4 linked regions of the Arabidopsis thaliana genome follow. The protein of the gene in region 3 interacts with the protein of the main gene of each other region in a biochemical or structural test. Each region holds a gene or a part of one and is shown on either strand. Other genes may lie near its edges.

Evidence for each region.
Region 1: of the proteins of KIN10 (region 3) and ICK5, one has a biochemical effect on the other in vitro, tested with the Arabidopsis thaliana proteins (one study listed by BioGRID).
Region 2: the proteins of KIN10 (region 3) and FUS3 form a complex in vitro, tested with the Arabidopsis thaliana proteins (one study listed by BioGRID).
Region 4: the proteins of KIN10 (region 3) and SNF4 form a complex in vitro, tested with the Arabidopsis thaliana proteins (2 studies listed by BioGRID).

Annotation. Positions count from the first base shown.
Region 1 is NC_003070.9:18,364,580-18,368,646, forward strand, and holds ICK5 (Cyclin-dependent kinase inhibitor family protein), read right to left. Parts: upstream 2,166-4,067; 5' UTR 1,996-2,165; coding exon 1,702-1,995; intron 1,584-1,701; coding exon 1,531-1,583; intron 1,446-1,530; coding exon 1,260-1,445; coding exon of another isoform or gene 1,256-1,259; exon of another isoform or gene 1,183-1,255; coding exon 1,113-1,182; 3' UTR 757-1,112; downstream 1-756. Other genes in the region: PREP2 (presequence protease 2), read right to left, coding at 3,826-3,970. UniProt on the Arabidopsis thaliana protein: Binds and inhibits CYCD2-1/CDKA-1 complex kinase activity. May target specifically CDKA-1.
Region 2 is NC_003074.8:9,852,912-9,857,960, forward strand, and holds FUS3 (AP2/B3-like transcriptional factor family protein), read right to left. Parts: upstream 3,302-5,049; 5' UTR 2,838-3,301; coding exon 2,595-2,837; intron 2,404-2,594; coding exon 2,314-2,403; intron 2,232-2,313; coding exon 2,131-2,231; intron 1,808-2,130; coding exon 1,761-1,807; intron 1,659-1,760; coding exon 1,582-1,658; intron 1,498-1,581; coding exon 1,114-1,497; 3' UTR 917-1,113; downstream 1-916. UniProt on the Arabidopsis thaliana protein: Transcription regulator involved in gene regulation during late embryogenesis. Its expression to the epidermis is sufficient to control foliar organ identity by regulating positively the synthesis abscisic acid (ABA) and negatively gibberellin production.
Region 3 is NC_003074.8:30,580-36,821, forward strand, and holds KIN10 (SNF1 kinase homolog 10), read right to left. Parts: upstream 3,909-6,242; 5' UTR 3,565-3,908; coding exon 3,499-3,564; intron 3,402-3,498; coding exon 3,209-3,401; intron 3,085-3,208; coding exon 2,900-3,084; intron 2,798-2,899; coding exon 2,615-2,797; intron 2,523-2,614; coding exon 2,391-2,522; intron 2,275-2,390; coding exon 2,089-2,274; intron 1,998-2,088; coding exon 1,908-1,997; intron 1,799-1,907; coding exon 1,715-1,798; intron 1,642-1,714; coding exon 1,504-1,641; intron 1,419-1,503; coding exon 1,182-1,418; intron 972-1,181; coding exon 858-971; 3' UTR 602-857; downstream 1-601. Other genes in the region: AT3G01085 (Protein kinase superfamily protein), read left to right, coding at 233-243; HYP1 (hypothetical protein 1), read right to left, coding at 4,434-4,562, 4,743-4,976, 5,273-5,548, 5,635-5,911, 5,997-6,242. UniProt on the Arabidopsis thaliana protein: Catalytic subunit of the probable trimeric SNF1-related protein kinase (SnRK) complex, a central regulator of cellular energy homeostasis, which, in response to seemingly unrelated darkness, sugar and stress conditions, activates energy-producing pathways and inhibits energy-consuming processes.
Region 4 is NC_003070.9:2,898,979-2,907,129, forward strand, and holds SNF4 (sucrose nonfermenting-like protein), read right to left. Parts: upstream 5,885-8,151; 5' UTR 5,235-5,884; coding exon 5,110-5,234; intron 4,963-5,109; coding exon 4,875-4,962; intron 4,442-4,874; coding exon 4,265-4,441; intron 3,984-4,264; coding exon 3,861-3,983; intron 3,734-3,860; coding exon 3,674-3,733; intron 3,464-3,673; coding exon 3,374-3,463; intron 3,194-3,373; coding exon 3,059-3,193; intron 2,895-3,058; coding exon 2,750-2,894; intron 2,462-2,749; coding exon 2,288-2,461; intron 1,901-2,287; coding exon 1,837-1,900; intron 1,750-1,836; coding exon 1,680-1,749; intron 1,488-1,679; coding exon 1,370-1,487; intron 1,266-1,369; coding exon 1,171-1,265; 3' UTR 798-1,170; downstream 1-797. Other genes in the region: AT1G09010 (glycoside hydrolase family 2 protein), read right to left, coding at 161-309.

The sequences.
Region 1 (4,067 bases), on a different chromosome or scaffold from region 3:
GTGTTGTTAAGTAAAATATAATAACAGTCAGTTCGCAAAAAAAGTACATAAATAAGGGAAAGGAAAAAAGAATAAATGAAAAGAAAAACTAAAATAACAGAAAGCACGTGGAGTCACGCGCCTTTGCCTGCTGTAGGAAATTAAAATAAGAAAAGAAAATTAAAAAAAGGGAATATAATCCCAACGGAATCAGGTAATGATGAGATCCTCTCTATTCTCTTCTCTCTCTTCCTTTTTTGTATTCTTGCCATTTAAAGTTTTAATTTTTTGCCGTAAAGCTCATTTATAATTTGAAAATTAAATTTCAGAAAGAAAAAAAAACGTCAATCATCGAGAAAGCTTTCAAATTTGCTTCTTTTTTTTTGATAAATAAACATTCAACTTTGTTCATAAAGTTTTCTTGATAAAATAATAAAATAAATTATTTCAAGGAAATTAGAGGAATATTCATTCGAACTATAGAGAAAGTACATACCAAGTGTATGATATATATATACCGTTATGGTTTTCTAATTTTACCCATTTTCCTTAAAATCTATATTTATTTTCTTCTTCCTATTACCATTATTGTTTCACTAAAACAATTGTCGAAACAAGAAAAATAAAAAAGTTATAAAATAGCATATAAAGTACAAGCAACAAAAAGAAGAGAAAAAAACAATTTCTATAAACATCCAAGGTGAGAATCAAAACAATAAATAGTTTTCCAAATTCATAAATACGTAAATCCTCCCAATTTCATGAAAATACTAATAATGTGCACAACACCAAATTCACTACAACAAAACTGACAAAAATTAGTGAAACTTTACTGACACAATAATTCCAATTTTTAATTGTTGTAACCCCACTTTTTTTGTTGAACAATCCAACAATATCACCGAGACAGAGAGAATTAAACTCAAATATATGTTAACACTTCTAGTTAAAAAAAAAAACTCTTGGTACGAAGAACAGATGAAGATAATGATGAAATTAAAATTAGATAAAAACTGTACAATGAAATGTCTCTAAAAATTCTTCTGTCTGTGACAAAAATCACAGTACTAGGACGTGTAACTTTAGCACTGTCTCTTCTTCTTTTTCTTTTTTTTTTTGTTCTTCCATGGCTTCTAAGGTTTCAGACTAACCCACTGGTACCGACCTTCAAGCGGCGTATCATTGACGATGTCGTAGTTGTACCTATACATGTTTTAAACAACTGCAAGTTAAGGATCTCTGCTATCATGCGCGTGTGTGTGGGTCTAAAAAAGACTCACTTTTCTGTGAATCGTTTCTGTTCGTATCTCTCCGCCGCCGAGAAAAAGTCATCAAGCTCTGCCTGCGTCGGTGATTTTTCCATCTTCTTCTTCTTCTCCGTCTTTCTCTGATCTCTCATCTCCGTCGTCGCCGAGTCCATTTCTGCTGTTTCTCCCAGATTCTCGCTTGATGAAATTCCCTGTTTCCTGTGAAATTCCAAAAATTATGAATTTATAGACGAAACAATGAAGAAATTGAAAAATCTTTGAAACGTCTTTTTTAGTAATTAACCTGAAATTGTTGGTGAGTAACGTTGAGATTTCGGTTTCGGAGATTTCATGAGCCTGAAAACGGAAACAAAATTAATTAATCCAAAAAAACGTAATCAGATCTTGCTCAGAGAGCATTTATTGTGAAACAGAGAAATTTCAAAATTTGTAATCTCGAGTTTCGAAATTTCACCTCCAGATCTGAAAATGGAAGACGAGTAGCGATTTCGTTAGTTTCGCTGCTGGAACAACCAGAGCTGATGCTTGAGCTTAGATGATCGTCTTCTTCTTCAGATAACGCGACGGAGCAGAAACCTCCGGAATCTGAAACCGAGTAAGCCAGAGAAGAAGAGGAAGAAGAAGAAAGAGTTCTCGTCGGTGAGCGTAAAACGTCATCATCATCATCGAGTCTCATCCTCTTGATGTTTGATCCTTCGTACTCAGAATCTCTCTTGGGTTTTGTTTCGCTCATTTCTCTCAAGCTCATTATAGTTTTCTCTGGAGAGAGTTTATGAAAAAGTTGGGGTTTCTCTGGTTAATAAAAACAGAGGAAGGGTTTTGGGTATTTGGGGGAGAGGAAGATGAAGGATCTAGAGCCGTTGATTAATTCAACGGCTGAGATTTAATTATTGGGCCTTGCCTATAGCGGATGGGCCGTTGTTGTGCCGGTTTTGAGTGGGGTCCTTTAAACTGAGTCCCGTTCACGGGGAAGCAGGTAACGGCGTCGTTACGGAGCGTAGACGCCGTCGGGATTCTAAACGACGCGTCTTTTTTGCCGTTTTTAGCTTCCTTTTAAAGCAACCCAAAACTAAAACGTCGTCCTATAAGCTGTAGAAATGTGAGTTGTGACAGTAATTTTTGTTAATTAATCTACTTTCTACTATAGATTTCTTAAACTTATATTCTTTTACACGTAAATACATTTGTCAAAACAAAAAAAATAATTCTGATGGTTGCTGATTCATAATTTCTATCATAAGCTCTAAATATCAACTTCTTAAGGATATAACTAGGCACATAGATTAGAGTCTAAAGCATTCACTTTCTTATGAGCAGCTTCACATGGAGACAGAACTATAAATACAATCAATTAAATAGTACTTATTAAATGACAACAACAAAAAACCAACTTAAAATCCAGCTTTTACATGGAATCTGTACATGTCCAAAAATGGGTTAAGAATTTTACACATACAACATGTTTATTTCCTTCTAATAAAATGGGACCATTTTCGTTATTTTTTGGCAGTGAAATAATGAGCAATAATTGACCGTTACATAATAATTGTGCTAACAAGCATTTACTTGGGATTTTTTTTTTTTTTTTTTTAAAGTTACACATGTACAATATCGAAAATATGAAATATTAGAATCTAGGCTTCATTTTGCAAAAAATAAATAAAAAATAATCTAGGCTTCAATTGTCCGATTCTGCTTCTTCAATAATTTTAAAATTTATCACAAGAAAAAAAAGAAGACTCTTCGTTAATTTTCATCCATAATAATGATGTAATCAGAATTTTCAAGGATAATGGTAAAAGGATGAGACGAAGAAGATTCATCAATACAAGTATCTTTGTTTATGGGCTAATTTACAAAAGTTATCTTTATGAATCAATGTTAATAAAAAGTAACTTTAAAGACTAATTCACTTATAAAAGTAACATAGAGATCTTGATGCCAATGTCCTAAAAGAATAAGCGTTTCAATTTCACTTGGAAATGTTTAAGACCTACGACCTACTTCAAAAACACAAACAAAAACAAATGAAGCATGAGTAGTCACATTAGATAGTATGACAATAACAAGATCACGACACATGATGAATAATAGATGCATCTTTTGTATGACTGAGAGCCATTTGTTTTAACAAGAACAGGCACTGTTCGATCCGATCCCAGCCAATGATGAATATAATGTCTATTTTGACTCATCATTTTCAACAAAATGTGAATCAAACGAAACTGGTTTTATAACCTAAAAGGTACAGGAAAATCCTCGAGAGCTTATCTTGATACGATAATGGAATATAAATAGAACTAGGATTCTTAGTTCTTAAAGAGCAAAGGCTAAAACGAAAGAAAAATTGTCCAAAAAAGTAACAACTCAAATGCAACAGTAGCTAAAGCCTGTGTTTTCAGGTAAAAATGCTAAATTTCAACTGTGATAAGTCATGATGTTGGCATATATAACTATACAAAACACAGTGAAGTAAAACACAAATAAGTACGAGCTTAGAGATTTGATGCGTCGTACCGTGAACCTAAGAAGAGTCATTCCTCATTGTGACAAGCTACTTTCTAAGAGGGTCTCAGACTCAGAGAGCTGCTTTCTTCACCTCGAAAAAATTTGAGCGTTCTCTGTTTGCTGCATCAATGTCTTCTTGTGATGCCACGGCCACTGCAACGCCTTTATCACTAACAGAGTCTATTGCCTCTGCGAATTCCTTGAAGTCCTTCAAACTGAAAAAGGATAAAATGGAAGTTACTTTTCTTATCTGTTTGATAATAACTATGTCGAAGAATTGCAACTGGCTATTTGGTAATATTCAAAGAAGTC
Region 2 (5,049 bases), 9.8 Mb from region 3:
TTGAGAGAGAGATAGAGAGATGAAGAAGATGAAGATGATAAAATTAAAAGCAAATGCTTGATCATATGAGGTATTATTAAATATCTCTTCTTTTTTTTAAACCAGTTACATCCCAGAAAATAATATCTTAATTCCTATGACAAAAACTTAAAAAGTCCTATCGGATCTTATTTCGGAAACACAATCGGCTTTTATCTAAAGAATATTACTTTCATATAATATTCTAATTTCACAAGAGATGTTTCATGGTTTAGGGACGAAATTATATGACGATTAAAACAGACATGAATAAAGTTTATAATCCAATAGAGTGGTCTTTAATTTTATCGAGTATTTACTAAAGAAAATAATTTTTTTGCGGTAACTAGGTCTCCTAGATAAGACGGAGTGTTACTTCAGTTCAGTATAAGGTTTTAATCAATTGACAACCTCGAAGTTTAATAGTCCCCGAAAAGTTTAAAGCATGGTATCCTTTATTACTATACTTAGAAGAAGGAATGAGAAATCTTGGGTACCTTGAGGTACAAGATTATTGCAGTAAGATAGCTTTTATAAGGAGATGGTACTACAACTGTCACATTTTGATCTTTGATTAAATATATAGTAACTAACTACCTACTTATCAATTAGTTGAGGTGTTCTAAATTATGTGCTTTTTTTTATTAGTGATAACTAAATTTTCCTACGCAATGTGTGGGATTATATATATAAGATTGATGTAGCTTAATACAAACTTTACTAGCATAAAATGATTTTATCAACATAAATTGTTTCTAAACTTAACATCAAAAAATTTCAATCCTTAATTCTAGTATATATAATGATTAACGTTTGCAAGACAAACAAATAATCTCCAATAAAAAGAAAACTAGTATCATAAATCTTCTTTAAAGGATTAATAATATATTAACGCCGTAACACTAAATAACATTTATTCATCAAATACAACACACCTTCATGACTCACATCTAGCTATGATTTTCATATAAACTGTAATGTTATATTCAACACTTGATAATATATATGCAAATTGCATTTAATTCTTATATATATTATAAGGATATTAAATAGCTGATCACCATCAAGAATACCATGAGCCCATCGATTGATTATCTAGTAGAAGTCATCGAGAGAGATATTCTCAACGGAGCCCAAACCATCGAATGTTCCGAACTTGGAGTAATAATTATTAGTAGTCGTCGTATGTCCACCCAAAAAATCGAGAGGAGTATCGTTGGAGGTAAGAGCCGTCGTGTCGTAGACAAAAGACTCTGTGTTTGTGGTGACATCATCTATGACTGGATAATAGTAAGAACATTTGTTGCTGTTGCTGTTGCTGTTGTTGTTGTTGTTGTTGTTGTGATGATTAAAATCTTGGAGGAGAAGATCGTTAACCACAGTGTTTTCGATCCTTGTTAAGTTTGTGTAAACGTCGTCTTCTTCAAGATTGATTACGTCTACTTCTTCTTCTTCCGATGCTTTTCTTGCTTGTATAACCTAAAGTAAAAATAAATAAATAAAATTGAGCCTAAACATGTAACACGTTTTGTAGAATTTTCTTTTTAGTAGCGTGTAACGTACGTAATTGTTTGAGTAGAGATCTTGGTAAACCATGATGAAGTCACCTAGCTGCAGACCATGAGCATTCACAAAATCGCCTGGAAATAATACCCAGCTCGATCCAATATTTTTAACAATCATTGATTCGATTTTTTATTATCATAAAAAAAAACAAAAACCGGGATTGTCGGTAACTTTACCTGTGTTTTCTAGCACGTACATTCTGCTATTGTTGTTTGGCCAGTACCTAATGATCACAACATTAGGCCAAGACTCAAACATCTATGGTTTCTTCTAACGATCTCATTTACTTTAGCTTAGTCTTAAATGAAATGATGCTATTTTAAAGGTCTTAAGATCGACATGGATACATGAATACTTTCAAAATGATTGATCTACCAAGAATTATCCATGTAGATCTTAAGATCAGATATAACCTATCCGTTATAGATTCGTACTAGCCAATTTTGAAATTCTTGCTAACCAATTTTGTAACTGAATAGTTTGATTCAACTATATAAGCTATGCTTTGTTACATAACATTGATTAGGAGTAAAATGATAAAAGTACCTATACTTGAAGGTCCAAACGTGAAAACCGTCCAAATCTTCCATTCTTATAGGAATCCCTTCCTTGCATTCAAGTGCCGGCAAGTGAGCCTCCGCGGCTTTCTATATGGATCATCATCATTAGTTATCATATCAACACCAACATCATTAATCATCATCATGATCATATATAATCAAAGATCACCTTCGGGAGTATCATACGTCGGAGAGAGCTGACGTCACTGTTCTTGAGTTCCTTTTGGAAGAGGAATCTTAGCTTTCTTGGGTCAATTTTCTGACATCATCACAATATACATTGAATCTTTTTAATAAAACCAATCCAATAGAAAAATATACAAAACTCTAAATCTATTTTTATTTGGATCCTCACAGATCTTATAAAAATAACAAAAAATAGTTTTGAATTAATAATATTTAGAGAGAGAGAGAGAGAGGGAAAATAGTAAAAAAGAGTGAAGAGCTTACACGTGCGGGGAGAGGAGTTGGCACGTGGGAAATAGGAGGCATAGGAGGAGGGAAAGAGAGAAGGTTAAAGGAAGAAGAAGATCGTCTCTGTCTAGGCATCCTTCTCTTCTTCCAGTTAACACCAAGAAGAGGCACAGACGCCGATAACCCATGATGATCATGACCCGACCCGGATCCAAACCCATGATCAACACTTGCCACTAAAGTAGAGGCCTTGGTTTCCACATTTTCATCAACCATCATTTTTCTCTCTCAATTGGTTAACACTGCCTAGTAAAAAGGAAGTGTGGAAGAAAACAGTTCTCTGTGTGAAGGAAAAAAGAACAAATGGTGGATCTCTTTGGGTTTCAGTGATAGAGATAGAGAGAGAAAGAGAAGATAGATAGAGAGAGAAAGAGAGACTGTGGTTTGTGTTGTGTTGTGTGTATGTGTGTTGTGCAGATCGAAACAGAGGCTTAAAATGGACGCTGGGCAATCAGAGATTTGGGTTTACCATTGGTTTTTAATGATTTTTGTTTTACTATTTATGGTAAGGAAGTGACATTTGTATAACCTACATTCATGAATCTAGGGTTTTGGAAGATTAAGATTTTCTAAATCTTGATAAGATTATTATGATGATAGTAACGCAACAAGATCTAATGCCACTAAACTAACACTCAACCATAGTTTAGAGATTAGGTTAGGTTAAAGTTTAGAACCAAGAGCAAAGGGACGAGTGGATTGTGCATGGTGAACAAGTGTAGCAAAAGTTCTGCTTCTTTCCTTTTTTCCAGAATTCAATGGCGTCTTCTTCTCTCTCTCTACCACATTTAACTCTAGTTTTAAAGTCAATTTAACTCTCATTACTTACTGGTCAACATGTGATTTGTATATACGTAGATTCTACGACTTTTTTTTAGGGATAAAGAACATTTTTGCGACCAAGAATAAAGGCTTTTTGTTTCTACAGACTTAGACGATAACTGATTTGGAAGAGAAGTGAAGGATTCATTGTACCTTTGAGATTACTTGACTTAGGTTGAAATAGCACATTTGTCTCATAGCTTAAAGCTAGAATATCAAACTCCCATACGAAAATCGTTACTTGACTTTCATTTAGTAACGCCCGTATCAGAAAAAATTATGGAAAGATGAATGGAACAATATAGTACTCCATTAATTATATTTCAGAAGAAAAAAAAGCGACAAAAGAAATATGTTTTTTTTGTTAAAGTTAAATTATAGAAAATAAAGAAACATGAATTGAATTTTGTAAATTATGCATCTAGTTAAAACTATGGAAATGTGTAATCATTTCGTTAATCTATCAATATTCGACGAATAACAGACGAAAAATGTGTAATGGTATTTATAATTTGTTAGTATATACAACTTAGATTGACACAAATTTATCTATCATCTATATATATTGTTGTCATTGTTACTAACAAATACCATTTATATGCCATATTCTATAATTCGTCGAATGATTGATTATCGACATGATAACACATTTCCATGGGTTTTAACTAGATGCATACTCTTAGAAAATTGCAATTCATGTTTCGTTATTCTTCTATGATTTAACTTTAACAAAAAAACCATACTGTATATGTTTGGTCGATTAATATTTTTCCTGAATTTAATTAATATTTTGTTCGATTCTACTTTCCATTTTTCTTGATAAGGGCGTTACTAAATGATAATCAAGTAACGATTTTGTCAATTTTAGTAATATACTAAAATAATTTTCGACTCTGCACGAATATATTAGGGGAAAGTATGGGTGAGGAAGAATACGTGACGTTAAAACGTTTTTGATATTTTTTGTTTTCTTTGCATGGACAAGTGGCAACTATTCTCTCCAAATTTAATAAAAGATTCTTTCTCTTTTTTTTCATGACTTTAAAACTCTAATGACTAATGAGTTTTCGAAAACAAAAAGAAGATTAAATAGTTACTCATGTTAGTGTACATATGTATAATGAATTTTAGCTTACAACTATAGTGATAGATTGATAGTTCATGATTTTTGAATGAAAACTAGTCAAGCGATATTTGACAACTAATTACAATTTAAAAGTGCATAAAGAAAGAAAAAGAAAAATTCACTCACTAAATTTGGAGAGAATAGTTGCCACTTATCCATGAAACGTTTTTCATTATATCACAAATGACGTATAATTTAGTAAATCGAAGCTATATTTCATTTGATTACTTACTTGACTTTTGTTTTATTAGAAAACTATCTCAGGCCCTAATATAAACTCAATATAATAGATTGCATATTAAATCGGAACTAATTAAACTTTTTCTGGCCAGCCACATAATATAGTTAGATAATTCTTCGACTCTAAATGGATATGTTTTGGAATGGTGTTGGATGGGGAGGATTTAGAAGTTAAAAATATACTTAATTAATTTCAAAGTGGTTAAGAAAAAAAAAAGAGGATTCTCTCATTCATTTTGGAGG
Region 3 (6,242 bases):
ATTACCAGAATTTTTAGCCAAAGATATATATACATTTTTTACCTACCATCATGATTTGTAGTCCATATTTGTTTAATTTTTCATTTAAAAAAAAAAGCCCAAGTCAGTGTGAAATTATTCAATTTCAGGTTTACCAAAAGATAATTGTGTCTTTTTTTATTATTATTACAAATTTCCTTGTATTTTTGTGAGAGTTTATCTCACACTTGATGTGTTTTTTTTTTTTTTGCAGGAGAAGATTAACTGGTAGGTAAAACCACACGTTGGAAACTTTTGAAATTCTTTTTGGGCTTGTTTTTGAGTTTGTATAGTTTTTGGATCTTAGTTCGAAATAAACACATCAAGCTCATCCTAAATGTTCGTTTTTCAATGTCTTAATATTAGTAGGATGACAAAAACAAAAAACAACTATTTTTGAATTTGCTAATTTGTTTACACAAAAAATATAGTGTAATATTGACCCATCAAATAATACACGAAACAAAAACAACTACTTCTGAATTTGCTAATTTGTTTTCAATGAAACTAATTTAAACATCTTTCCTTCAATTTTTGTCAAAATGTCTTTCCCTTAACTTATTGATTTTAATCATAAGAAATATGGAGTAAACAAAAACAAAAATCAATCTTGGTGGCATGATGCACTACAAGTTATGTACAAAGTGTCTTTTTTTTACTCTTGCTCAGTCTTACATTTAAGTTAAAAGAGGTATTTGAGTAGAGCACGCATATAGAAATAGAAAGAAAGAGAAGAAGAAAAAAAGGGTTACGTTTTCTAAATAATTTCTTAGACGAATAAGAAAAAAAAAAAAAAAGGAATAAGTGGGGATTATTCTTGAAGAGGTCCGGTTTAGTATTCAGAGGACTCGGAGCTGAGCAAGAAAAGCAGCACACAGATCCAAGAACAAGAACTGAGGACCTTGTACTCTCTGCAAATCCAGTAGATACTTGTCGTCCCGAGTTTTATACAACTGTTTCACCATCAACAATAACAAACGTCATCAAGCCCAGAAAATATTGATTGATAGTTAGATTCATGAAGATTCACTCTAGTTCTAATTCAGTTACAAAAATGGCCATGGACACTAATACACAAAGCTTTCTTTCACTCGAAATCACACATCAGAAACAATGTCGTACGGGAAACCGATATGTATCATGAAGTGGAGAAGAGGATTTACCTGAATTTCAAACTTGACAACATTGGGCGACTTAACAGCTGCTTCGTTCTCTATTATGCTGGACTCGTCTCCAAAGTAGTTGTTATCGTGCATCGAGTTACTGAGCATACCATCTGCGCTGCTGTTAGGAACCCATCTGCACTTCATGTTGTAGTGCCCTATCTTCTTCCAACATACATTCAAATCTTGCAGGGCTTTCAGGACTTCCGTCATTATTTCACGGGGATGAGCCCGAGACTGTGCGATCAAATTGTTACAATATTAATCACATATATATCAAAAGCTGAAGTCTTTATACCATAAATACAGAAAATATCAAAACCTGAAGTCCAAGAGCCCATTTTCTCTCAACAGGGTATTGAGATCTCAAGCCAACTCCTTGATATTCCATCAGTCCTGGAAGCCGATGGCTAACAGGTGAAGCAACGCTTTCTGCTGGATGCATACGGGGAGTACCTTCCTGATTAAATCAAACAATGAAGCATTACGTCAAAGATCTTTTGCTAAAGTCGAAAAGGACAAAAAAGACTAACCATGGTCTCTTGAAACTCAGCCCCGAGATAACCACTAGAGGCACGGAAACGATTGTCCAGTATCAGATAGTACGTCACAGTGCCCTGGAAGACAGTCGGTAAGAATACAGTATTTAAGATCTTTTGATGGAATTTTTTTTAATCTTTGAAATGAAAGAAACAGCAAAAGAACAAGTGGGTGGGAAACACATACATCATTCTGGGTTCGGTTGCGGAGCGATTCGATGAGGTGGTTTCTGTCAAATCCCATATTGATAACTTCTTGGAGAATCTCCTCGTCAATCTACAAATGAAGACAGCGCTTTTACGCCTTTATCGAAAAATGGGAATAGAGATTTCTCTAATGAAAATAAGAGTAGATACGTTAGGCTTACCTTTTTTGCCTGTTGCACAGTATCTGGAGGAGGAACAGCTAAATACCTCGGAAGATGAGCTTGGAACCAAGGGTGTTGCCGGATCTCAGGGATGGTTACTCGTTTCATGGGGTCAACTACAAGCATCCGGGGGATCAAATCTCTAGCACCAGGAGATAAATGGCTAGGTAATGTGTATATCCCTCCCTATAGGACGAAAAGAGAAAAAAAAAAGGTTACAGTCGAAGGGTGATACGAAAAATAAAATAAAAAATTCAAGCATTAGTTCAAATAGACGAAAGAGGAGGAGTAATAGAATGTACCTTTATCTTCTTAAAAAGGTTGGGAATGTTTTCATCATCAAATGGAAGCGTCCCACAGAGAAGAGCGTAGAGTATCACACCACAGCTCCAGACATCTACTTCAGGGCCAGCATATAACTTGCCCGAAATTACCTGAAACAATTTATAGATCTCGACTATAACCTATCATTTGAAACAAGCCTAATTATAGTATTCCTCAGATACCTGAGGGCTGAAGCACTTACCTCTGGAGCGGCATAATTTGGACTTCCACAACTTGTCTTCAAAAAATGACCATCTCGCATTATGTTGCTCAGGCCAAAATCAGCAATCTTTACATTGCATTTAGAGTCCAAAAGCAAGTTTTCAGGCTTGAGGTCTCTGTGAACCACCATGTTTCGATGGCAGTATTCCACTCCTGATATTATCTACATCAAAGCCAAGTAGCTAATTCTTAACTCTCAAATATAATATAAAATCGAATGGTTGCTTGGAAAGTTACATGTTGATAAAATAAAATAAAAACATACCTGCTGAAAAAAGTTCCTCGCCTCATCCTCCTGCAATCTACCCTTCTCAACAATATAGTCAAATAGCTCACCAGAGTTCACATACTCCATGACAAGATAAATATCTGTGGGAGTCTCTATAACCTCATAGAGACGGATGATGTGAGGATGCATAAATAGTCTCAAGATTTTGATCTCTCTCCTCACTGCATCAAAGACCAAATAAGTTCAAAGGAAGGAAGACGAAAAAGAAGCTATATATTTATATATTCCAAGAGTACCGTGAAGTCACAACTAAGGTGGAATGGATACACAAAACAAAACTTGTACCTTTCTCCTCCATCTCCATGTTCTTGATTTTGCGACGATTGAGGATCTTGATAGCAACCTTATGTCCTGTCAATGCATGCTCAGCTATCTTCACCCTACCAAAGGAACCAATACCAAGAGTTCTCCCAAGCTTGTAATTTGGTAGAATCGATTCTACCCCACTTCTACTGCCTGTGCCTGATCCATCCATTCTCTACAAAAAAAGAGAGAGAGATATTAGATCTACTAGTACACAACACACAAAACAAACTGCAAAAGAGTAATAGGAACAAAAAGCAAGTAATTTTTACACTTTTGAAGATTCTGTGATCGATCGTTGAAGAAACTAAATTAAACTCATCTACTCGTTTGAACATGAGAATTTAGCGAGAATTAGGATCCCTTTTATTATCCAGAATAAACCAACCAACACTAAGAAGAGAGCTTAAAATAGCAATTTTCAGACTATCCCCAATTCGGAATATGAACCCTAATAATAATTCAATCGCAGAGGATTACTGGATCTCTCGTACCCGATTCAGAAATGACGATTTCAAGATCAATCCATTGATTTGCAAAAGGGCGAGAATTTTTTTTATTTCCGAAATAAGAAAATTGAGAGATATCGAAACTTACCAAAAATTAAAAAAGGCGGAGGAGAAAATTCGGAACCAAAAAATGCAGCAAAAAAAAGTCCCAAAATTTTCTGAGCTGAAAAAGTAAAATTGAGGAAGATCCAGAGATCAGCTTAAACCCAGAAATTATTGATAGATTCTTCCTCTCGCTTTCATTGCTCTCGCTCCTGTAGCCTATAAGGCGCAAGCAAGTATCAAAGACGAAATTATTTGATTTTTGGTTCCATAAACGGATCAATCTTTAACTAAATTACCCCCAGAGTTACGACTAATTACAATATATACCCCCATGCGGACGTGGCATCTAGTCATCATCTTTTTGCTAAATATTCTCTGTGGTAAAATTATTAACCACCGTTTTGTTTTGGCATCTTTCAAAAAGTTTGTACCGTCTTAAACCGGTTTAGAGAGATACATTGACATAAACTTTTTTTCTTTTTTACACAAGCCAAGTGTAAGCAAATGTACAAGACAAAAACCGCTTGATTCTCGGTTAAGACCCAATGTACAAGACAACCGGTTTAGTGTGTTCTTTCATGGATTGCACCAGGTATAGTAAACCAACAGCTTCAACATAAGCAAACTTCAATAGCTCAAGTAAAAAGGTGATCTCAAGGTGAGATATCTCTCGAGTCCTGTGATGCCGAAAGTGCAGGATCTCGGTAAGCAACAACGAGTTCCGAATAGAATTCAGACATGTTTTGCTCTCTCTCGTCTGCTTTATCTTTGTTTACCAGACACTGCAAAAGTAAAACATCCATCATCACCATATAAAGGTTTAGAGTAGATGCTGTAATGTAATAAAGGACTATGCATCATGTTCTGTTTGTTTTGTTTAGGTTAGGAATAAAAGATTATCTAGCCATATTTTTCTTCCATTGGATCAAAAATATGAGTAACTATTTCTCTAAAGCCTTTACCTGGGTAGGATAAGATTTGAAATTTGGTAAAAACCGTCTTTGGCAGTAAATGCTGAAAAGGACCGTGAGAACCGGAAGGGGAATTGTTAAAGAAGATGCCACTGGAAGCTCTTTAAGCCCGAATAATCCGACTGCAATAATGTGCATTAGTACCAAAGAGAAGATAGTATAGCTGTGAACTATTGGCCAAAACTTTCCACCAGTTTCATACTTGGCCGCATATACGTTTAGGAGCTGCAGCACAAAAAGGTGATGTTATTTCTATCAACAAGTTGCAATGGATTCATTAAGAAGAAAAAGAATTATGTGACGAGAAAATGGATTCTTGATGTAACGTTTATGTCATGACTGAAGCTCCAAAAAATACTTTCGGTTTAAAGATGCTATTCGAGAATTTAGAAAAGGGATCACATATAAAGAGAAGATAAAAGTGAGATTCCATATAACGAAAATATGTGTAGCTGATTCCTATATGATTTTATCAGAGATCAACAGAGAATTATACTTAGGAGTGAGATTGGTTCCGTTACCTGGTTGCGGTAGATGATATATCCAAGACAATAGTAGACCAACAAGAAAGGCAGTATCAATGGCGAAAGGAAGAAGTAAGTTATACCGAGGAGTCCAAAAAATAGAATCCTTGGGATTTCTTGGCAGAAAGGAGTTGAAGGAACCTCAAATTCTTTGTCATCTTCCTTGCCGAAAAGTTTCGTTATGAAACTCCAAAGAAGAGGAACCAAACGGAGGATCTCTGATGATAAACCAGTCCATCCAGAGGTCACAACATAAGATACAAAGAACGATGCCTACACCAAAGATTAAACAATAAACATGACTCGTGGTACGAAAAGGGAATTCCGGAAACCTCAATACTGAATTTTGTGTTCTTTACCTGTGCTGGCACAGCTGCAGCAAGCACACGAGGAATAGTCTTAGGTTCAAGGAACACATTAACACGATAAAGGGCAGATCCGGACAGTACATTTGCAAAGAAACTGTTCCATACAGTAAAGATTAGAAGCTTGATACATGCAGATTTCTCAATCTGGCTATGAGAAATGAATCCTTGCATTGAGGAAAGTAGAAGCATAATGGGTGGTACTATAAGAAGGAAAAGCTGGAAAATGAGACTCGGAAGATATCCCGTAATCACTTGACTCACGATTTTCCTGCAATCATAAGAAAAAAAAGAAGATTTTGTAATTGTTCAATTGAAACGAAGAACCATCTTTATCTAAATAGGGCTTTACTTACATATTTAATATTCCTTTTAGAAAAGGGAACCAAGTCTCCAACTGGTGAAGATTAGCAAGACCTTGAACCAATACAACGGGGACAATGTATAGGATCAAAAGAGCTACGAAAGCCACAAGCACCACTACATTGGAGATCCATCTTCTCACAAACGATGCAGTGAAAAATGGCCAATGAACATCTTCGGGCTCCGGGGCTGCCTCAGTTAGCCATTGTGTTGGATCTATTCCTTGCTGAATGTTTGTT
Region 4 (8,151 bases), on a different chromosome or scaffold from region 3:
AGCTGATTCATAAGAAGAAGAAAATTAATTATTAGTTATCAAGGCAAAATCCAAACTTGACAGACACATTCGAACAAAATCAAATACTTAAACAATTGTTCTTACTTTGATTATTAATAGCTTCAAATTTTCGAAGAGGAAAGTGAACACTATTACTTACGTTCCAGGTACGGCGGCTTCCATCCACCGAGATTCGGAACTGATGGCCGGAGGATTGGTGGTAGTGAGCTGAACGCCGTTGACATCGACCTCCGTGGATCTCGCCGCTATCCAGCCGAAATCTAACACCGTCTTCCCGATCTCCGCCATTTTAGTATCTGATCTCAGCTTCTGGAATGTTTATGTCGAAAACAGTTGAGAGAGTTGATGAAGAAACTTGTTGGACTGGAAAAACGAAAACGTTTATTGTCTGGATAAGCCTAAATAAGTAAATAGAGTAAATACATTTTTCTCTATCACTTATTATGTCATCAATTATTTAACACTTATTTTTAATGACATTAGATTTTATTTTTTTTGCTCAAATATTTTTTAAATGACATTAGATTTTTTTATTTTTTTTTAGTGTCACTAGATTTGATTGAATTTTGTATTACTTTTATTGATATATTTTAAGAGCTATTGAAAAATCCGAAAGAAATCGATAATGCTATGATCAAATCACTCGATTAACCATTACTGAATATTACTTGTCATTGTACTTTTTTACTTGTTATTGTACTTAAGGTTATGATTCGTTATGATTGTAATTGTATTAATCATTACTTGCAAACTTCAACCATAAGGCTTATTCTCGCTGGTGACAATTCATCTTTGTCAACCAGTGCATTGTCCTACACTTCTACGGCCTTCTCATGCTGTGTTGCTTTTCGAGTCGATGAAGTGAAAAACTCAAAACCAAAAAAAAATGGAAAAAAAAAGAGGGAAGAAAAAGCTGAGGGAAGCTACTAGTAAAAGATTCCGGTAGCCAATATCTTCACAAGAATGGAAACCCGTTCAACTAAAACAACAAAAATAATAAGAAAACAATGATGAAAGAGGTTCGTAGCAAATTTACAAATTCCTTGCAAGAAGAAAAAAAAAAAAAAAAAAAAAGAAGCAAATTGTTGGGTAGTTTTGATTGAGGGGAAATGAGAAAAAGAGGTTGGGGAGGTTGTTTTGCTGTGGGAGTCAAAGACCGAGCAGGAATTGGAAAACATCGCTCAGTGAAATGATACCTTCAACACGTTTGCTCCCTGCTTCCACTATCACCAGCCTCCTTACACCTGTTGTGTTTTATATACACAAACCCAAACCCCAGTTACATCTCATCTGATGTTCCTGTGTCAAGCAACAAAGCTGAAGATTGTATATAGGAGATAGTGTGTACCTGGATTCGCCAACCGCTCCATCACTTTCACAAGAGAGTCTGAGCGCAAGCACATGTGACATCTCTGCCCGTTGAAGATTCCATAAGGCGGGCTCGCATCTTGCCCCAACTGTAGCGCCTGAAAACCCACAAACACATTATCCTCCACTTTATTATAACGTTTCATCTCTTCTTTCATTCTTGTAAAGATGTATGTTCAAATAAATCAGAAACGAGGCAATTTCCATGATAGATAGGCAGGTTACATTTAAGTAAAACTCGTAATTTGATGAGACATGTGATGGATCTTGGTTTCTGATGAGAGGTTTACCTGGTGAACTGTCATGTCATCAAGATGAATCTGTGCGTATGCCTTGTCTTTAGCCAGAGCAGTTATATCACTGGCCAATTACAAATATCATCAGAACACAAGGACGTCAAAGATGGAATGCATAAGACATCATGTCGATTGATGGATAGAGGTTTACCTTCGAGAGTATATGTCAATAAGCGAGTCGTTGTCATCCACTACGGGAATTGAACTGACTTCAGCTGTAATAACCAGGAAACATAAATTAAGCATGACTCATTCATTCATTTCCATCTATGAGGAACCAGGGAAAAGATCACGAGAAATTCTATAAATATATCTGCTTTAAGATTGACAAAAATGTTTCTATGTTTTTAAACCTCGTTAGTTTACTCATGTTGCAGCAATTACATCTGTATAAAAATAATAAAAGTGGTCGTAACATCTAAAGTTGGTTTGTTGGTCTGCATTGACTTGAGTATACCCATGTGTTCAGCTACTTGATTATATTACCATCTAGACAAAATATTTAAAACTGAAAATCTGATTGTAATGTAGAGGTTGATAGTCTGAGTTGCAGATGAGCTTTGAATAAGATGTTGCTGCAACAAGATAAGAAAAAGGATTACCTTGAACTAATAATGCGAGCGCAGAACCCAAAGAGGCGTGAGGTCTCAATGTAGCGAGAGGTTTGCTACTTGATTCTCCGATTCTAGGGACCCACGTACCCAGGGGAATTGAACAAATGGGTTGCTGAAGGATAGGTAAAGAGCTAGACGAATGTCTAAAGTATCTGCATATACCTGGAAGATTATGCTTAATTTAGAGCTTAAGTGTCTGATAAAGGCATAAATTTCGAAAGGAATTATTAACAGGGAAAACTGTGTAAAAAGTTTGGTAAAGTCAATTGCAACTTTAGTTTCTAATTTCCCTCCCTCCTAAAGATCCCATCCCTTCACAGAATTTGGAGAAATGAAGAAGTGGGAAAATTTTGGAAATAGCAGAATCATATGCACGTCATGAATTAAAAAGTGAGAAATGCCAAATTGGCGCGCTTATCAGTGTCTTATTCACAAATGAAGGGACCTTACATTTTAATATGCCTGATAGCGAAGCAAGATGCAGTAACTGCGGATATGAACCATCCTGCAAAGAAGAATATATAACCGGAACAGCTGCCACCTTGTTTTGCAAAATTTTCAGGGCAACGTCTTTCAGATTATCATAGGGTCCAACCTGATAGCCATATATAAAACCATTAATAGCAAGAGAGAAATACTACTAGCTCTTTTCAATATAACATGCAATAGAAAGTTCTAGGATAAGGCTATGTTCAGAGATTACGCAAACAGAAGAAAGTTAGTAGTAACAGCGATACAAATCAACTGTGAAAATCTCACCTGAACAAGTGGCCTAGGATATGGTCTCCCACTTCCATCATATTGCCGGCTAATATGAGCCTTCCCCTCTTTCCAGGCTGCTATTGTGTGCGTCTCAAGCTCTTCCTCTGTCAAGTTTGATCCATGAGTTCCAAGCTGCAATTTTACAAATTTGCTATTATACTCAAGAGTGAAATTTCATACTGAGAAGCTAGTAAAACATTTAAAACTATGTGATTTATGAGATATCCAGACTTCCGTCTTGGAAATTCTAAGAATATACAATAGTAACTCGATGGAATGCTCTAGCAAAGAACAGTTTTAATAGAAGCCAACCTCTCTCAGTATTAGAATGAAGTCTAGTGGACCAAGAACTCCAACAAATTGGCCTTTTCCAAAGTCCCAAAGAGGAGCCAAAGGGATTCCCTGAAAGCATCTGGAATTAGCAAAAACCAGAAAGCCAAACAATCTCGAAGTATAATTAGACGAATGTTGTTCACTTAAGTTTCACTTCCTTCCCTTTCCGGGTCTGGATGCAACAATATTAGAATGTTTATATGACGGTGAGAGACAGAGAGATGAACATCCTAACAAGAACAGAAGCTGACACAAGGGTAATTGGCAAATAAAGTAAACCTGCTCATAGAGTATATGGAATGCTTGCTTCACTGGCAAATTAACATCCAATGCAATAACCTGTAAAATTTCCAATCACCTTAGACAATTTCCGAGTAAGAAGCCAAAGGTTATTCTTAACTGATAATCTATAGGACATGAAGACAGAAATTATCAATGATCAAGCAAAAAGAAAAAGAAACCAAACCTTGCCCGATTCTGGGAGCAGCTCATATGCAGTGCGGGTTGACAATAAAACCGATATGCGGTGACGAGAAAGCTCCAAATCAACCCCCGACATCCTAGGAACAGCTTCCTGGGACGGGTCAGCCTACAATATAATCACCATGTGAAAGCAGTCAGAAACTCAATTTGAATGTAGTCTCAGAGACAATTTAATGGAACTTAAGGAATCCTGCTTTATACATTAAGATAAAATGGTCTAAAATCAATTATACTTGAACTAATGACAAACAGTTAAAAATAATCTGAAGGATACCAACCACGGATCAAAATTAAAGAAACCAAACTGGAAGCAACTCGGGAAACCTGAACCATCAAGCAGCGAGAATAAACACTGCATTTTGGAAAAGGAAAGGTCAGATTCCTTACCGTTCGCAGGAAGACATCATCCACATCCATATTCGACCGGCCCAGTGTCTCTGGGCTAAAACCAGCAGGAACCATATCTGGCCCAGTTATAAATATTGTATTCACTACTCCACCATTTCCGCTTACAAATGGTTGGTGCTCATCGTGCCGCCATTCCCCATCAACAAAAAACTTATACTGCATGAGAATGAAATAACATAAATGTAACATTAGTGGCTTCTTAAGCATCTCACATTGTAATAATTAAAATCTTGTTATATATAGTACATCCAACTGCCAAAATATATGAATCTCTATACACACACTGTAGCCTTTATTAAAAGAAGTGATTTAGGTATCACACAGCATGAAGACCCCAACTTTTGTTATGTGGATGGTGATGTATAAAGTCAAATTTTGATCAATTAGCAAGGAAATTTGCAATTTTCAGCCACAGTCATACAAATATGACAGAGGTATATAAGATTCTCATTGCATAGGTTAAGTATCCAGAGACTAAATGAAGCACAATTATGGACATCGCTAAATCACTACAAGGACATAAATGCTTCTGCAGGGATTAATTAACAAAGAATTTGCCATGATACAGGTCGAGTACAAGATTATTAACCTGATGATATCCTGGCGTCAAGTTGCAAATGACTTGAAAAACAGTAGGGCAGCCCTCGAGCGGTGACATTGGCACATGCTCTGTCCACCTGTTCAAATGCCCATTTCAGAAATCAGTCCATGGACTGCAAAACCCCGATAGATACTATACAGAGCACATACTCTACACAAACCCCGATAAATAGCTTAACTGAAATATAAAGTAAACTATCCTAGTTCAAGCTCAGTCATCTCACCTGGTGAAAGATCCGCTTAGGAAGACTCTTCTACCTCCATAAGGCCACACGAAGCGTGTCGGAGTAAGAAGCTGCCCTGAGGCAGCGCTGTTTCCACGGCTGCTATCCAATGTAGAACCAAACATCCCCTCCCAGTAGTTATATAGTTACAATCCACAGAAACTAATTCCTAAAAACCTTCTGAATCGATTCTTAATGCGTAAAATAATCTCGACTCTTCAGCAGAAGAAACAAAACCCGGTGAAACTTCAAACTTCAACGCTTACACATGCAGAGAGTCCGAATTCAATAACGCTACCATAAATTCCAGCAACCAGTAAACCGAAACCCTAAAAGCCCAAATCACGATCTACAACGAAATTACTGAACTCTTCCCCCAAACCTAGGTAGAGAAATTCCACCAACACGAAACCTTGTAAAAGAGCCCTAAACTCAAAGCACGAACGATCTGGCTACAAAAGCAAAGGTCAACTGATTGACAATACACACCACCTGGAAAACGTAGCTGAAAAATTCCGAGGAAAAGAAGGCAGAGGAAGTCGCGGCTCTGATCTTTAAATTCGGGGAGTAGAGAGACCTCGATGATGATCGGAATTGATTGAAGGGAGGGAGCAAGAATTAGGGATTTGAAAAGTTGGAGAGAACCCTAAATAGAGAGAGTGGAGATGGCATTGTTTGGATCTGGGCAAGGAATGATGTTAATGGTCTTTCAAGGTGAAGAAGAATCTGAGGGCGAAGAAGCGCTGCGTAATGAAAATGTTGTTTTTAATCCATCGACAAAGATATGGTTTTTTTTTTTTTTCTCTTTTTTATTACTGTATACAGTTTTTCCGATAACATTTAAAAAAAAAAAAAAAATTCTACTTTTACATAACTGATTATTCTTCTCTTTTTTCATAATAAATAACTATATGAATTATGCAAATAATAGCATCTAATATATAGTTTTAGTCAACTATCTAATAAATCATTTCCTATATATATAATATATCACATAAATGTTATGAATAAATTAGACGAGGATCCAAGTTATTAAAAATATTTCCACTTTAAAATTGTATCTAGTAAATTCTTTTTTTGGTATTATTTTTTTAAACTCATTTGTCTTTTCTGATGTTAAACAGTACTATAAATCAAACAAAACCAAACTAACATTCAAAAACGTTTCAAAATACACTTTTCTCTTATTCTCTTGTGTTTTGAAGCAGGGTAAATAAATAAAGTAAAAAGAAAAGCCATGTTTTTTTTTTCTCTAATTTTTATTGTGTCAACTCTTATAATTTCTTAAATTAAAGAAAATAAATCATTACATCCCACACCAATTTATTATCGGGTTAAACATAATCCATGAAATTACATTGTACATCTATTCTCGGTAGACATGTAATACAGGGAGACAATCGTGTTGTCTTCCAAGTTGACATTATTTGAGGGAGAGGAGACTTCATGTTTGAACCCTAGGCATGCAATTACATTTTATAGTAGATTTAGCCTTAGAAAGACCTGTAAATTAGGGCTAAAAGCCTAAAACCAAAACACGACCTTGAAGAAAAAAAGAGTTCGGTTTCTAATTAGTTTTATAAACTCTAAATAATCGAAGTGATGTAACTTTTATTTGTTGTGAGTATATATTTTTAAGTTGGATTTGAACTTTCTTATAGACATGACTTTATATAAGTGTATATATCTCGCTCTTACTCTAATGTTGTTTATCTTTTTCCTCAAAACGTATATAAGTCCCCCGGCCCTCTCTTTCAGTACTATTCTATATATACACTTACTCTATCTGTCGGAAAACAGCAAATGAGAAAGACATTTGTAAACAATGGTCATTTTGGCTTGTTGGTTATTGGGCAGCATTCACGGTCGCTGGCTAGTATGGACAATTGGATATATATACTCCTTTAATGGTCATAACTTTCATCTCAAAATCTTGATCGCTATATTTGGGCATTGAAAAACAGGCCAACAAAGTTTTTTTTTTTTATCTCATAAGGGCTCTTTTTAATATTTGGAAAGTCTTCATTTGGTTACATATTGTTAGAACATCTTTGGCTCTCGTCCTAAACATCCGTAACTCCTTCGTCGTAATTCTGGTTATGTATATGATCTTTGGCTCGGGAACTAATTCAAAGAGTTCTTTCTTCTTCTTTTCTTTCAGTTATGGGTTTTGCATCAGATTTCGAGAAGAATTTCTTTAGCCTCCACTGAATACATTTTTCTCTTAGTCTAAACAACTCTCCAATTACATCACATATGCTCCTTCTTTCTTTCTTTTTTTTTTTGATATGAAATCAATCAAAGTGAAAAGCTTAGATTATACAATATAGCATAGCCTAGTTCTTTGTAACCTTGCCCAAAAAGGAATTTAAGGAAACATCAAAGCTGGGAAAAATATTGGGAGACTAACGCGCAAGCAGTTTCATTGATGGTTCTTTCTCTTTCGGGTACAAAAGTCAAAATCTGAGTTTATCATTGATGGTTCTCTTGTAGGCAATTTCTGATGGTTCTCTTTTTCTCCTTCCAAAATAGATAGTCCATAACTCTTTGTCCGTAAGTATAATTTCGATGATTTTTGTTTTTTGTTTTACGAGAACGTTCACGTCACCAGAAGTATAATATCATTGAAATTAGGTTTGGAAGATTACACAGTTTTGTAAAAATAGTTAAATAATTTGTATACCAATTTTTCTTGCACATTCTTTATTTTGTTTCTCGTCAGTCAAACGAAAACCTAATCTGAAATATATATGTGTTCTTACATAATGCCAAGCTTTAAAATTTCATTAGAAATGAGTTGTTCCCGAATAGTCCACTACTACAAATAGTTAATAACTGAAGAGAGAAAACTAAGATGGTATCAAATAGCACTTTTCTTTCACTTGAAGAACTTTTGACATGCGTGCATCTCATTTTTCATAGGAATCAAGTTCAGCAACTTGCCTAAAATCATCATAAAGCTATTATATTTCTTGGTCCATGCTGCAACCTTAATGGTTGTAAGTAAAATCAACATAATAAGCTATTATATTTCACATGGAC